4 linked regions of the Neurospora crassa OR74A genome follow. The protein of the gene in region 3 interacts with the protein of the main gene of each other region in a biochemical or structural test. Links are inferred from orthologs where the notes say so. Each region holds a gene or a part of one and is shown on either strand. Other genes may lie near its edges.

What was found. The genes of interacting proteins can lie anywhere in the genome.
Region 1: the proteins of NCU08973 (region 3) and NCU06777 form a complex in vitro, tested with the Saccharomyces cerevisiae proteins (2 studies listed by BioGRID). The link is inferred for Neurospora crassa OR74A from reciprocal best matches to the Saccharomyces cerevisiae genes YKT6 and PEP12.
Region 2: the proteins of NCU08973 (region 3) and NCU05959 form a complex in vitro, tested with the Saccharomyces cerevisiae proteins (3 studies listed by BioGRID). The link is inferred for Neurospora crassa OR74A from reciprocal best matches to the Saccharomyces cerevisiae genes YKT6 and VTI1.
Region 4: the proteins of NCU08973 (region 3) and NCU01741 form a complex in vitro, tested with the Saccharomyces cerevisiae proteins (3 studies listed by BioGRID). The link is inferred for Neurospora crassa OR74A from reciprocal best matches to the Saccharomyces cerevisiae genes YKT6 and BET1.

What each region holds. Positions count from the first base shown.
Region 1 is NC_026502.1:1,962,467-1,966,587, reverse strand, and holds the start of NCU06777 (syntaxin), read left to right. Parts: upstream 1-1,321; 5' UTR 1,322-1,929; coding exon 1,930-2,220; intron 2,221-2,328; coding exon 2,329-2,865; 3' UTR 2,866-3,236; coding exon of another isoform or gene 3,237-4,121. Other genes in the region: NCU06776 (hypothetical protein), read right to left, coding at 1-823, 889-1,027; OXA-2, read right to left, coding at 3,237-4,121. UniProt on the Saccharomyces cerevisiae protein: Plays a role in the sorting and targeting of vacuolar proteases.
Region 2 is NC_026506.1:3,311,437-3,314,918, reverse strand, and holds NCU05959 (vesicle transport V-SNARE protein VTI1), read left to right. Parts: upstream 1-1,416; 5' UTR 1,417-1,733; coding exon 1,734-2,133; intron 2,134-2,209; coding exon 2,210-2,408; intron 2,409-2,484; coding exon 2,485-2,572; 3' UTR 2,573-2,982; downstream 2,983-3,482. UniProt on the Saccharomyces cerevisiae protein: t-SNARE found in various SNARE complexes involved in multiple transport pathways. The composition of the t-SNARE complexes is specific for a limited number of v-SNAREs and therefore allows only the vesicles carrying the matching v-SNARE to fuse.
Region 3 is NC_026503.1:4,097,510-4,100,822, reverse strand, and holds NCU08973 (SNARE protein Ykt6), read left to right. Parts: upstream 1-1,139; 5' UTR 1,140-1,581; coding exon 1,582-1,602; intron 1,603-1,660; coding exon 1,661-1,826; intron 1,827-1,891; coding exon 1,892-2,181; intron 2,182-2,238; coding exon 2,239-2,358; 3' UTR 2,359-2,813; downstream 2,814-3,313. Other genes in the region: NCU16686 (hypothetical protein), read left to right, coding at 1-21.
Region 4 is NC_026502.1:2,582,606-2,586,556, forward strand, and holds NCU01741 (SNARE complex subunit), read right to left. Parts: upstream 2,466-3,951; 5' UTR 2,251-2,465; coding exon 2,237-2,250; intron 1,629-2,236; coding exon 1,304-1,628; intron 1,206-1,303; coding exon 999-1,205; 3' UTR 501-998; downstream 1-500. Other genes in the region: NCU01742 (hypothetical protein), read left to right, coding at 1-157; NCU01740 (histone H2A.Z-specific chaperone chz-1), read right to left, coding at 3,758-3,924. UniProt on the Saccharomyces cerevisiae protein: SNARE required for targeting and fusion of ER-derived transport vesicles with the Golgi complex.

The DNA of each region.
Region 1 (4,121 bases), on a different chromosome or scaffold from region 3:
TAAAACAACTTTCTGTGCCCGAGTCCGTTCAAGAGACTGCCATTGGGATCCTTGGACCCCGATGTGAAAGGGCGTTGATCCTTGGTCGGTTCCTTGACCATGAACATGGTGAACGCAGTGTTACCAGCAATCCAAACGATCAGGAGCATGGTGCTAGCCAGGATGATCGAAGTGGCGCTTTTGAAGGAGACGGGCCACGAATATGGCACATAGTTCGTCTTTGGAAGGTTGAAGAATGGGCGAAAGAAGAAGAGCGACAGCCGCCAGACCACCTTGCGCAGGAACGGGTAGGTGACCAAAGTCAATATCAGGCTGGCAAGCGTTTGATTGAGTGACTGCAAGAAAATGCTAGGCATCTCACCCCAGAACTTCTTCATAAGGGTGCCGACATCACTGTTGTTGTTACGGACGGCCTTCTCTGAGGGCTTAGCGACACCCAAGAGGAGCCGGTCAATGTCCAAATACAGATGTCTGATGGCCTGGTAGACGCCGAGCATCACAAGATGGGTGGTAATGAAGACAGCCTTCTCGTTCAGCCTCTGTCTATCGTACGACAGGTACGTCACCCATTCCAACCCAGAGTCCTTAGGCTGGGAAAGGAGGTAGACTTGGGCAAACAGCCAGGCAGAGAAGGCATATGTCAAGATGGTCTCCAAGGTTGAGAAGTTGCGCCAATGCTTCAGGAAGGTATCGAAAGCCGAGTCGGATGTTCGGTAGCCGGGATGGTATTGTGCGATGCGCAGGATGAGGATGAGCGAGCCGGAGAACCAGAAGAAGGCGGCGCGAAAGCCAGTCGGGCCGATGGGAAACCAAGACCAGAGGACTAGATGGAGAGCAGCATGGTCAGTTGGTTCGCGTCAGGTAGCAGAAGGTAGCTGGCCAGCTTACAAGAGTTCCATCTGGCCAGGCCAATGGCATAGACATATGCGATGACGAGCAGAATCAAGGCTGTGGTACTAAAACGGCGATGGAGTGCAGGCTGGAGGAAGTCCTTGTAGGGCGGTCGTCTAACAGATGCGGACGCCATCTTCACAGCACATTGTCGACAGTCCCGCCGTCGTTATGGTAGTTGTTTGCCTGTGGATGGTGTCTGGAAGACGTGATGCGCGTGAGGGGGAGGGCGGGGAGGGGGGAGGTGGGATTGGTCCTCGTCGAAATTAAGCTGAGGTCAGTAAAGCCCAATTTGGATCTTGAGGCAGCAGCTTCGGGTTTGATATGAGGTGTTGAGTTGGTTGTATGTAAATAAAAAAACGGGGTGGGCCTGCCTGCCGCGCTGGACTGGACTGAACTGAAGCTTCCAGTTCCCGTAGTCCCCAAAACACGAGGGGACGCGCTGTCGTCAGCCTGTCACTCTTTTTGGATCCACACGAGCTGAAGGCCCGGTATCATGATTGGCCAAGATGCCCCATTACGTCTCCAACAAGCCAAGCCGAAGCTTTGGAGCGGCAGGGCAGGACGGCAGGGATCCACATGGAAGTTCCCTCGAAACTGACAGTGGATGCTGACAGCGCACAGCGGGCAGCCACTGAGGGACAGCGACTGGTGGTGTCCTGGCTCGCCTGGATAACGCAATCCATTGCAACCACTTGCGACCACTTGCGACCCGGCATTGTCGTCCCAGATCACAAGTCACAAGTCACCTTAGGTTCCCGCGCTTCAACTTACAACCATCCACCCAAGGGAACCTTGGACCACCACCGCCTGTTGACAAAAACATCACCAACAAAACAGGCACCGACGAATCGCTCGTTTTCCGAAGGGCCTCATCTCAGCTTCCATTTGCTTGAAGAACCGCATACTTGTACATACCGAATCCCATCTCGTCGACGACAATCAATCACTACCCTGCGCATCGCATCAGGCACCGATAAGCCAAACTATCTGCTATCATAACCACAACCACAACCACGACAACCACCACCAGCAACCATGTCATTCGATCAGCTCTCCTCCCTTGAGGCGGGGCGCCGTCGTAATACCGGTGGCAACCAGTACACCGATGACCCCGAGTTCCAGCGCCTCTCCCAAGATTTGATGAACAAGCTCTTCAAGCTTAACGGCAACAACCAGCGACTCCAAGGCGAGGTCGGCCACCTCGGCACGCGGCGCGATACTCCACGGGTTCGGGAACGAGTCCACGAGCTGATTGAGGAGTCGCGCGATCTATTCAAGGAAGTCGGCGGGGGCGTCAAGAAGGTGCAAACCTGGGAAGATGTCACTGTACGTTACTATTCTCTCTCTCTCTCTCTCTCTTATCACCACTCCTCGTCCCCTCCATTGCCAAGCGCCGGACCGTAGACTAACACGCCATACCCAAAAAAAAACTAGCCGACCCAAAAATACATGCAACAAAAACTCTCGCGCGAATTCCAATCCTCCCTCTCCGAATTCCAATCCCTCCAACGCACCGCCCTCGACAAGCAAAAAGCCTCAGTAACCGCCGCCCGCTCCGTGATTGACGCCACCGACCCTTCGCACTCTTCGCACCCCGTGCTCGAGTCCGGGGAACCCCAGCTGCTGCAATATCAGGAGCAAGAACTCACCCACCTCGCGTCGCAATCCGATGTCGATTTCCAGGATGCGCTCATCCTCGAGCGCGAAGAGGAGATTCGCAATATCGAGCAGGGTGTTGGCGACTTGAATGTGCTGTTCCAGCAGGTGGCTCAGATTGTCAGCGAGCAGGGCGAGATGCTGGATACGATTGCGAATAATGTGGAGAATGTGAGGGATGATACGGCGGGGGCGGATAGGGAGTTGAGGAGTGCGGCGAGGTATCAGAAGAATGCGAGGGGCAAGGCGTGCTGTTTGTTGCTGATTTTGAGCGTTATCTTGACGATTGTTTTGTTGGCGGTGTTCTTGGGCTAAATGGGTGGGACATGATATGGCATGGTATGAAAAACAAGTGCAGGATGCGGAAAGACGGGACACAGTAAGGATATGATTGTTGATGATGTTTTGATGATGAAACGGAAGGGAATGGCCCGGAGGACAGGGTAATCCTGTAATGGTTGGTTTTGTTATTTCTGTTGCTGTCGTTGTTGTTGATTTCGTTATCGCAAAGACGCCTGGGAGGGATCAAAGACAGGGGAAAGGCGTTTTCGGAGTTCTTACATTCTTTTTTGACTCTTGTTGGCTATACAGTTTCCATCTGGCCTCTGTAGGCGGCCAGTCCATCTATCATCCATCCATAGGTATCTTATGTCTCATACATCTACATACATACTGTACAAAAACCGCTATGCTCTATCTTGTGACATGGCTTGCGAGATCACTTTCTTTACGGCTGTGTGATTCGGCTCCCAATCCAGCCCCGGCAGCTTCGGTCTCACATACGGATCATCTCCCCTCCCCTTGGCCGGTCCCAGATATGGCGGCAACGGCATCTTGGCCGCCACCACGCTCGTGATCGCGTTGCTCGTCAGACTCGTCGTGATCCAGTACAGGTGCAGCGCCGCCGGCAAGTTGATGGTGGCGGGCCCAACGATCAGCGTCAGCAGCAGCAGCGCCCGCTGCATCCTAAGTCCTACGGACTTTTGCTGCTTGATCTTGGATGCGTGCTCGCCAATATTGTTTGGGTTGACGTCCTCCGTCCCGGGGTTCAGGAGACGCAACCACCCTTCTTGGTTGCGAGGCATTACGTTGACGAACATGGTGAAAGAAAGAACGAAAGGGAGAATGTGCAGAGGGTCGGCGGCCATGAGGTCGGGGAACCAGAGGCAGCCCTCCATGGTGGTGGGGAGGGTGTTTTGGAAATAGCTGGAGAGGGATTCCGGGAGGATGTTGGCTAGGGGGTTGACAATGGCGTCGGCGACGGGCGTGGTAGTGGTGACGGATGCTTCCGTGACGGCCTGCGTGGCGTTTGTGGCCGCTTCAGTTGCTTGTAACACTGCTTGTTGTGTGGTTTCCGCCGCCTTCGAGGCCGCCTCCGCCGCCGCCCTCCCATCCTTATTAGCCCCCAAAAACATACCCAACAGACCAACCGGTCCGCCACACAACCTCCTCAAAGCCTCGATACCCACCAGCCAGCCGGGAAAGGCCAAAAACGGCACAAACTGCTTCCATGGCTGCACGCCCCACTCTTTCAGTAACCTTTTGCTCGTCTTCTCCATCCGCTTCATGAT
Region 2 (3,482 bases), on a different chromosome or scaffold from region 3:
GCTCCAAGAGGTTTGGAAACGGTGGTGTTGCTGTGCCAGTGGCCGGTCACGACACCCGCGGCGCCCAAAGAAGAAAAAAAGCGACGGCGGAAGCGCACGGCAGATCCTGCTAGATCCTGGTAAAGGTAAGCGGGCAGGGGACTGGCCAAGCCCTGAGCTAGCCTGGCCAAATTAAAAAAGATGGGGCCAATTCGGTGCCGATGGTGGATGACGGTGGACGCCGGCAACGGTGAGTCGCTGAAATCGGCCGCCGATGTGTCAAAACCGTCGGACGTTGGCGTGGGCTTTTTCCTTCGGCGGCGGCGGCGGCGGTACGTAACTCGATCCTGGTGAATGTCGCCAACACTCTCCACTAGCCAAGCGATGATGTATTCCAGCGAATCCTATGGCGTGCCGAGAGTGGATCAGCCTGACAAACCTTCGAATGAAGAACCTCGCAGCGAATTCTCGAATTGTGACCGGGGTCGCTGATTTGTCCGTTGGTGATGGATGTTTTGTGGTGGAGGTTTAGTCAGACGGGTCGGTATCGCTGGGCTGAAGCCTGGTGTTGCTGGACGACGAGCAACAGAGAGAGTGTATGAGTGCGTGTATGTGTGTAAGTAAGTGTGTGCCACGAGGCCGGACCAGATGGCCATGAGCAGTCCTGGTGTTTTGATGTCGGCGACGAAATCCGAATGTCATAGCTGACATATATATGATTTAACAGAAGGTGCAAATCTCGTGGCAATGTCGAGCAGCTACCTACTATTTGCGCCGCAAAACAACATTGCCGACCAATCCGACCCGACTGCCAGGAGAACATTTTCCCAAAGCATCGGTGGCGACAGACTACAAACCCAAAAAAGACTTGGAAAATTCAAGACACCAACCAGAAACAAAAGGCTGGCAATGTGTCCATTTTCTGGGGAAACCAGCCAAGGTTCGCGTCAAGCAGCCGTGACAGTGTCTAGGCAGTGTACACTATATTATCTTAGCATGTCTTGGGACGTGGCCGTTGACTGGACCTTCTAAGCGATATGTCCCCCAAAACAGTTCCCTTCCCTAGGTCGTCATCGGTCTCAATTCGTTGCTGGCTGGTGAAAGGTCAACTCAGTCATACAAAGAAACCAATTGAAGAGTTTCAAGACGCCAAAGTCCCCGGCAGTCCCAGGCGGGGTTGATACGTTCAACTGGACACGGTCCGTGTAAGTTACACTTTGCAAACAATACATACAGCGCTTGCGTACACGTACTGCAACAACACTGCAATACATGCGGCAACGCCAAGCATGTGTACGTCACCCGCCTAGGCTGCAACTGTAACCACTGTAACTGTATGTAACAAGCGGAATGTCATGTGCCCATGCTGGTCCGTGCCCACAGCTGCTGTCGTCTCCCGCCTGCGGCCTGCCTGCCTTTCAGTTCGCTTGTCAGGCTGCTGAGACGACCGCAACGACTAACGGGGCTCGAAGCACACTGGTGTCGCTGGCGACAGACAACATTCGACGACGACCACTACTCCTTGCGATCAGACCAACCACACGCCAGCCCAACCACATCTCGTCCAACGCGACCGCATCAACGACGCCCCTCTTTGGCATGATTAATGACGAATCTGAATAATTGAGAATAACGATACCCGCCGATAAACGAGCATCACCCCGATACGGCCAGCCCGACGACAGCACCCCCACACCTGCCCCGAACCCCAACCTCCACATCCGATAGCAACACATAACTCCATTGAATCCAAGATGGCCAACATTCTCGACAGCGAAGCCGGCACAGAGCTCTTCAAGCATTATGAGACGGAATACCAGCTGGTCCAGGCCGACCTGGTCCAGAAGCTCGACCAAATCTCGGAGCTGACGGGCGAGCCCAGGAAAGCCGCCCTCAGCACGGCCGAGCGCGCCCTGGAGGAGGCCGGCGAGCTGCTGGACCAGATGAACATGGAGAAGCAGAACGTGCCCAGCTCGTCGCGGACCGCCATCAACAAGCGACTGCGCGACTACCGAAGCGACGTGGACAAGTATCGTCGCAAGCTGCAGACGCTGGCGACGGACCGCAGCGCCCTGTTCGGCGGCAGATACACCGATAACCCGGGCTCTTCGAGTGGCGATAGGCATTTTGAGCAGAGGCAGCAGCTGCTATCTGGTGGGTGGTGGACAGAAGCACCTTATACATGGCAAGAAGAAACGGAATGCTGACTATTTCCCCCGAAACGTAAAAGGCACCGACCGGCTCGATCGGAGCACACAACGCCTCAAGGCCAGTCAGGCGCTGGCCGCCGAGACAGAGGCTATTGGCGCCAGCACCCTGGCCGACCTGCACCGCCAACGCGAAGTCATTGAGCACACCACCACGATACTATACGAGAGTGAAGGCTATGTGGACCGAAGTGTCAAGACACTAAAGGGCATGGCACGCAGGTACCACCCTCCCCTTTTGTCCCAATGCGAATCATGATGATTAGGTAATACTGACCACTTGCGCCTTTACCATTAGGATGGCTACGAATCGGATAATCACCATTGCGATCATCACCGTGCTGGTCCTCCTTATCATTGCGGTTATCGTTAGCAAGTTCAGGTGATTGTGTCGAGAGAGCTGAGCGAATCCATAAAGAAGCAATACAACATCAGGTAGAACAGGCAGGGGTGTTCAGTGACATCACGATATATACGAACAGGTGGTGGATGGTTTGGACTGTACCGATGGAGCGTTTGTTATAACAGAGACATGTTCCAGTTCCATGTTTTTCGTATCGTAGGGATGGTATCGTACGGGGGGTTGTATTTTTACACAGACGGCGTCACAAAGGGAGGTGGTTTCGAAATTTAGACGTATTTCTTTCTCATGACCATACGGCGGCCTTGCTTCCATGGACGTTCCGACATCCGACAGGGGAAAACGGCTCGCCATGTCCACCACAACTCGCCGCCACATGGGTAGCGGATCGTTCTCTATGATTTCAAATGATTCTCCTCTGAGACATAGTATCCCTGACTTTGGTCGGTGTTGACCGGGGCCTTGGTTAAAACAAATTTTCTGTTGGCCACTGTTGTTTGAATGATTTGCGTTCACCACACCTCTGCTGGGATGTGACTTGGTAGCTTGGTAGTTCTACAAGAAACAGAGAGCGAGCCTTCGACAAAGTCGCTATTTCTTGTGCCCAAATTAAGCTTCTTTGCCACCCTGAAGAACCGTGGTGTACTGTGTATATCCCAGCAAGAACTGTGTCTTGGTAACTCATGTACACTACAGGCCTATTACAAATGAGTAGACTAAGAAATTTTCCATGTGATGGAAACACGCATCACTGCAAATCACGTCAAGTCATCTTCTTCGAGATACTTTCGTTGTTGTTAACATTTGCATATAACCCCACTTTCACAGATACGCAGTACATAACGGACCCTCAGACCTTCCACAGCTCCAGTTGAACTTTAGGCGGTGAAAAAAAAGAAGTCCACCGGACTGATGTTCCGCAGCTCAAGCTGCAG
Region 3 (3,313 bases):
GGCACCGCGACGGCAGAGTGAGATCGCTGGGGAAACGAATGGCGAAGAGCCACAGCTCACTGGGCTTGTCCTAATCGGTGCAAAAAGCGGTGGAGCACCACAGGCATCGCCGGCGTCCAAATCTGGTGTAGTGTAGGTGGAAGGAGGAACCGACGCATGTGCCGGCCACTTCACGAACCCCCCCTGTCTCTTTCCTAGGCTTGTCTACACGACACTACACTACATAGTACACTACACTACGGCTTGGTTTTCCTCTTTGAGCCATCTCCTCGTCATTACATACACTACGACTACGGGTCTTGATGGTTGTTGTTCCATCAAGGTCAACTTTTGGTAGGAAGACTTCTAGCTTCACCAGTCTGACGATCTCTCGGCCAGAAGTTCATGTCCAGCTTTACATTATTGGTGATGTACAGACGCGTGGGCAAGGCGGTTCGATGGTCATATGTGTGTAGTTACATTTGTGCGACCATGAATGATATGTACCCGAAAGGCTTCGAGATCCGACACGAGGTGGAAATCCGCGCGGTGTAATATCCGGACCTGGTGGAGAGGATCGATGACTTTGTTCTCGAAAAGGTCATTCAAGGCATCGATCCCATCCGTCTGACTCGAAGGAGTTTTGCTCCATAGTATTTTATACTGGGTAGTCGTGGAATCATATACTATGTGCCTCATAGGGGTAATACTCGTTGAGAGGTCCGCGATCCCTTCCAGACTCGGAGCAGAGTGCATGTCAAACATATTCGCTTCGCGGGTGAACACTGTACACCAAAGACCCTTTTTTCGCTTCAGGAAACCTCGTTAGAAGCATGGGCCGGCGTTCCGCTTGTTCTGTTTGTGCTTTCTAATCACCTTCCACATCATCAGTCCGTCCCCTTGGAAACTTTTGTTCAATGTTCCAGGAAGATGTTCTTGACAAGTGCGATTGTAGGGATCTGAGTAGTCGTCTTAGTCGTCATTGCACATGTCAATCATGGTTGAACAAAAAGCAAATGAAAGGACACGGAGATGCAACAAGAGCCCGTGTTAGGACAAGGTCTTCCTATAGTAGCATTGGCACTAACATGTGCTAGCGGGGCGGTGTTTGGCCGACGCCCGCCTGACGGTGCTGTTCCAGCCCAGAGGGCATGGGTCTCGATGGCCTGGCCCAACAAGAAGCGGACGGCTGTGGTTGGCTTCGACACATCGCCATTCAGCCTCGAACAACAGCTTGATTCCATCGATACCTCATCGCATCGCCATTGCCGCCATCGATCGCGCGTCGTCTATCAAACCCCTCCCCCTAATCCATCGACAATCGTCGAGCCCGAACCACGACCGACACAGCGACGCGCTTCCTTGACCAAACCATCGCAACTTACAATCCATTAACCTAATCTAACGACGAACCCTACGATTCGGCAATTCCAGACCTCATTGCTCCCCACGCCATCACATCGGCTCTCTCTATCCCAACGCGAGACATCAACATCATCGTGTACAGTCAGGAACCATCAACAGCGATACTCGCCTGATTTGCGCCAAAGCTCTGAAACACGACCACAACAAAACCTCGGGGACGTTTCAAATACCGCTACCATGAAGCTCTACTACATTGGTGTAAGATACGGCTGCTTTCATAGGGGGTACAAGAAGGTACCTGCTGACCGCGAACAAGATCTACAAAAACACCGAGCAGCCTGCGGTGCAGCTCTGCGGTGCCCACGAGCTTAGCGACTTCTCCAGGTTCACACGAGACCAATACAAGAACTTCATGACCATGATCAGCAGGACTGTCGCAGAGAGGACGAAGCCTGGCCAGAGGCAAAGTGTTGAGGAGCAAGGTGCGTCTATGGTGAACTCTCTGCTCGCATACATGTGCCTAGCTGACTAGGTGGTGTCCGAACAGATTATATTATCCACGCCTATGCCCGCTCCGAGGGTGTTTGCGGTGTCGTCATCACCAAGGACTACCCTCCTATCGCCGCCCACAGTGTCCTTTCCAAGCTCATGGACCAGTTTCTCTCGGAGAAGCCGGTTGCCACGATAAACGCCGCCAAGAACGACGGCGACATCCCTTTCCCGGCCATCGAGCAGTACCTTCGCGACTACCAAGATGCCAACAACGCGAGCAGCATTGCAAAGATCCAGCAAGAGCTCGACGAGACCAAGATCGTCCTACACAAGGCAATTGATAGCGTATGTCCATTCACAGAGGGTAGCAATGCTCTATATAACATGCTAACCTAGTTTTAGGTTTTGCAACGAGGCGAGAAGCTCGACGACCTGGTTGCCAAGAGTTCCGACCTGAGTGCGCAGAGCAAGATGTTCTACCAGAGTGCGAAGAAGCAGAACTCGTGCTGCCTGGTTATGTAAAGATCGTTCATCAATACCAACCAACCACGCGCGACTGTCTTCGCTTTTAGTCAGCCGCACTGATATATGCCATCGACCGCAACGTTCCCCCTACCCAAATACAAAGAGCGACTGACCCCTCGTTGTCTTCGAGGCACTGGTGGGGGTCTCTTCTAATTCAGCTTTTGGTTTCCGCGCAGGTTGCAGTTTGGCTACTGACGACAGAGGGCCTTACAGTAGCCGCTTTGGATATGTGAAAGCCACTTACCTTGACGGCTTCGTGGGCTCTGAGAATGCTAAACTTCTAATTCAACCTGCAATATACCCTTTCTCATATTCATTGTTGTGTGGTACATACCCGAAACTGTGAAAGATTGACCACTGTTTGGCGCTAAAGCTGTGAAATACATACTTCGACTACCAGATGTAGGTAGTCCTGTTATAGATTTGTTATGTGTCGAACCCGAGGCTGCGCACTTATCTGAGAGATCTTCGCTCCGTTTCTTGCATACCCGTTAGTTTCATACGACATCCGCCCTCAAAGATTATGTGATGGGCCGACACAAGCGAAGCGGTCGGGTTCCCCAGTCACGACATTCGGTTGCAGTGATGACGACCTTGTCCGCCACGCCGTAGTGGCGTAAACTGTGCGAGTCGTAACTAATGTACACTATGGTATATTCTAGGGGTTGTTATCCCTCTCAAGCTAGCCCAGCCAAAAAGACTCTTTTGAAGATATGAATGGAAACGTTGAGATTCAAACTACAAGACTACGCAGCAGCATCAATTGAGCTGATCGATGATGGCGGCATTGCGTACGGATCTTCCTCCATGCCGATCTTATATCGGCTCCGTCGGCGTCTACTCATGTGCACTACAGACGTTGGATGCAAGCTGGGGTTCGAACAACATCATAGGAAACTGAGACTGTAAATGTGCGGGGTGGCAGAGGCGCTCCTACCTGATGTCGCGCCTT
Region 4 (3,951 bases), on a different chromosome or scaffold from region 3:
GCAGCAGCAGCGGCTGTTGAGGACTAGTCTTGCGGGAAATGCCAGGCGGAGCACAATTGGAGCGCCAAGGAGCAGTCTGGATATCAGTGGGCTGTTGTCTGTTGATGAGAGTAGTCCCATGATGAGAAGCAGTCCAAGGGTGAGGAGGTTGCACTAGAATGAAGGTCCGCGGTGGTTCGGAAAGAGAAACAAGGGAGGATTAAAACTGAGGAGTTGTGGTAGGAACGGTCAGCAAGCATCATTCAATAACAGGTCGTTTGAGTCTGGCGCATGGAGTCTTGGGATCATGGCAGTATGGGTAGCTACTTGGTGGCTTGGGAAGCAGGATTGAATAGATAATGTCCGTCAAAAGACAACTTTGATCTTCGTTACAGCAATGGTCTGGTCTATGCAGTGGTAGTCTACACGCAGTTCTGATTAACTGTCTGTTATACGCTCAATGATTATCCACTTCACGTTTGTGGGAGCCCATATATAGCTTCATGATTGATCAGTGGATTAAACCAGATAATTGAACCTCATTGGTTGGAGAACGGATTAAGAATGATTAAAATAATTAGGTACCACAAAAAAACCAAAAAAAACCGACTTCTGATACTACCCGAACGACTTAACAAACGCGAACTCCCCGGCGCCAGCATGCAAAAACCAAGTCCGCCCGCAATCTACCAAGGGCAACCCATATCCATGCCTTTTCTATCCCACAAGGTAGTCAGCCACTTTGACCTAGAACCTTCCGTTTTCCTCATCATCCATTGGTATTACCCATCGTTAAAGCCATATATATACTATCCCATCTTTCCTTTGCATATATATGGTCTCTTTTCTCGTTTCCATCATTCTTGAACATATCGCTTTGCCCCGCGCAGCAGCAGCAGCAGCAGCAGCAGCAGCAGGAGGACCACTCCGCCGACCAACATATCCCTCCATCTTTGTCTTTTTCTTTTCTTTCTTTTTCTCTCTTCCAAGTTCAGAAAAACCTTGACCTTGGAAGGATACTAGAGATACCTCACGTAAAAAAAGAGGAACACCACGGCAGCGAAAAAGGCAAGCCACACCCTCCACCCGACATTGGTCTTCTGTGCCATGATGAGCATTCGGTTCATGGTACCACGGAGTCGGAGGCGGGTTTGGTCGAAGGATTCGTTCATCTTCTCGGCGAGGGCGGAGGAGTCTCGAATTTCATCGCCGATGGCTATAGTCATCTGTTTGTGGGGGAGGGATGGGGTTAGTTGATGGGTGGCTTGCGAGAGAAGGAAGTGGGAGAGAGGGAGGAGAGCAGAAAGAGAGAACAAAAACATACATCCTTCAAAATCTTGACTTTACCCATTATCCCTTCCACCTGCTCATCATTCTGGCTCTCGAGTTCGTTGAGGACTGCGTCGCTGTACTGGCCCCTTGAATTTGGAGTAGCAGGCCTAAACCCGCCCCGTTCCATCCCCAGTGTTGACGAGCTGCCGTTATAACTCCCACCGCCACCATAGCCGCCCCCGTACCCGTATCCGCCGCCACCGCCATACCTTGCTGGGCTGGCGTTGGCCGAGCGGCGCTCGGCTGCGCTGGAGCCAGAGTAGCCCTTGAAAAGGTCGCTGCGCGGGTCGCGCTGGTGTAGAGAGGAATGTGCAAATCTGTACTCCGGAGAAAAAGAAAAGCGGACTAATTGTTAGAAGGGTGTTGTCTTGTCTTGTTCGAAGGATTAAGGGGTTGGTGGGATGGGGGTTGTGGTGGGTGGTCAAAGTCGAATCGAGGACGACCCGGGGGCATGGTGGATGGATCGAGTTGACGCTTTCGGTTTCGCTGTCATTCTCGCTCTCGTCGCCAGTGCTGCTGTGGTTGCGCCGCTGTTGCGACTGCATCACATCACGGTAGTGAACTCGTATCGTATCCTACCATGGCATGGTTGGAGGCGTGTTGGCGAGACTCTGAAACCAGAGCGATGACGTAGTTGAGGCCGTCGCGCCATGACCAGGGGGGGCAGGTCGAGAAATCGTGACTTGTCAAACCAACCACCATAACATCGATAGCTGCTGCCTTTGGTCCGCAGATATCTTCCGGTGGCAATATCGTACACCCGTTCACCGGAGCCGGGCAGCTCGGTCGGCCGCTCGCTTCATCGCGTGTCGGTCGTGGGTTTGGTCGAGTTGACAGGCCAAGTCGCATTTCGAAATGTGAAAGGTGGCATTTGCGTGTGGTGTGGTGCAATGCTAAGACGAACGTACAAGAGAATCGCACTCACCTGGAAGCCATCATGGAGAGCAAATTTAGGTCGATCCGTCTTCGAGAATCCTGACAGGTAAATGCTAGCTAACTTGTAAGAGTGTGGGTAGGTATTAGAGATGATGAATTGGCAGGTTCCATAGAGGTAGCGTCGGGCGGGGGGTGTGCGGGTGGTGAAGAAAGAAAATAAAGTTGAATGCCCGTGGACCCTTGGCCGCCAGCGCCGGCAGATCCCCCTTTTTAGTTTGGGTGGTTGTTAGGCCTGTTCTGGCCAGATGTTACCTTGGTGCGCCGTCCATGTACATAAACTACAACGTCAGTCCGTGTCTGGGTGATACATATGTAATGGCTAAAAGGTACAATGTTGTTCGTGCCGCATGATGCTGACAAGGACACGTTGATTGAACATCTGGGTTGGTGTCACGTCTTCCTCTCCGAGAGAACTTGACACTATTTTCCCCAATGTATCTGGTTTTAATCATTCAATTTTTCTTTATGTCGGAGGGTTCATGTTCGGCGTTGTTCAAAGTCCCTCCGAGAGGTGCCCGTGTTGCTTCCACTGATATTGGCTAATTGGGCGTTCAGCGTCTCCATTCTTCCTCTACCTTTTTTTTTTTTTTTTTTTTTTTTTTTTTCTCTCTCAGCTTGTCGCGTCAGCAATAAGTTGATCCACGTTAGATTGCGCAAGGCGCATAGACTCAAGTATGGACTTATTGAAGCGAATCTAAGCCCAAATCCGAGACTTTCAGAATCGTTGAAGCTTTCCAAGTCGAAGGCATGCATTCTCACAGATGTTGGCGTCAAAGAAGCTGGTGTATGGTACTGCGTAGAATACCCGGTGGATCAGGCCAAGATCGCGAACCTTGTTGGTGGCTGGTGCGATGCTCCGGTTCCTGACGTCTGCTGTGTACTCCAGGAACAGGACCGATATCAAATCTCGATGGTCATAGCAACTCTAGAATTCGCCGGAATATTACCTTTTCATAGGTCAGCCGTAGACATATCACCCCCTTCAGGCTGCCTCGCGGTTAGTTTAGTGGCACCCCATCTCAACAGGCCAACTGCCCTTGAGCTGACAGGGGAATCATCCAATGTCTCCACTTATGGGGGTTAGGTTAGTGAAGACAAGCGATCAAGCGTATTCTGATACACCAACGTACGTAGTATGTTGATACTTTGAAATTGGCTGACAGAAGAGATCGGTCTACCTGAACTGATAAACGAATGATCACTTACACCCTTATCATGTATTGCCAAATTCTGATTGTGGGAACTCCCAACGCATTGAACCAAACAACCCCAGGCCTTATAGCTGACATTCACGTACATAAATAGGTCCAGCCAATCAGGCTTAGCAATCAGCCAAAAGACGGCTTACATCTCCAAGCTCGTGATCATCATAAAACTCAACCACTGGCAGCGAGCAAAGCGCAGAGCCAACGGGGAAACCCAGGAAGAAAGAAAACAAGAATCTGTTGTCATTGTTGTTGTTGTTGTTGTTGTTGTGAACCATCAAAGGAAATCAGAAGATAGCCTCGGACTACTCCTCCATTTCCTCATCCTCGGGCACAAACTCCTCGTCGTCCTCCTCATCGTCCTCCTCGGCAGGCAAGTCCTGAGCGGCCTTGGCATAGTCGATCTCCTTCTGGCGAGTGCGGGGACCACTGATCACATTGCTGGGGTCGATCTCCTCGAGGTTGTCTTCCTCTGTTTTTGTTCATGTTAGTTCCTGTA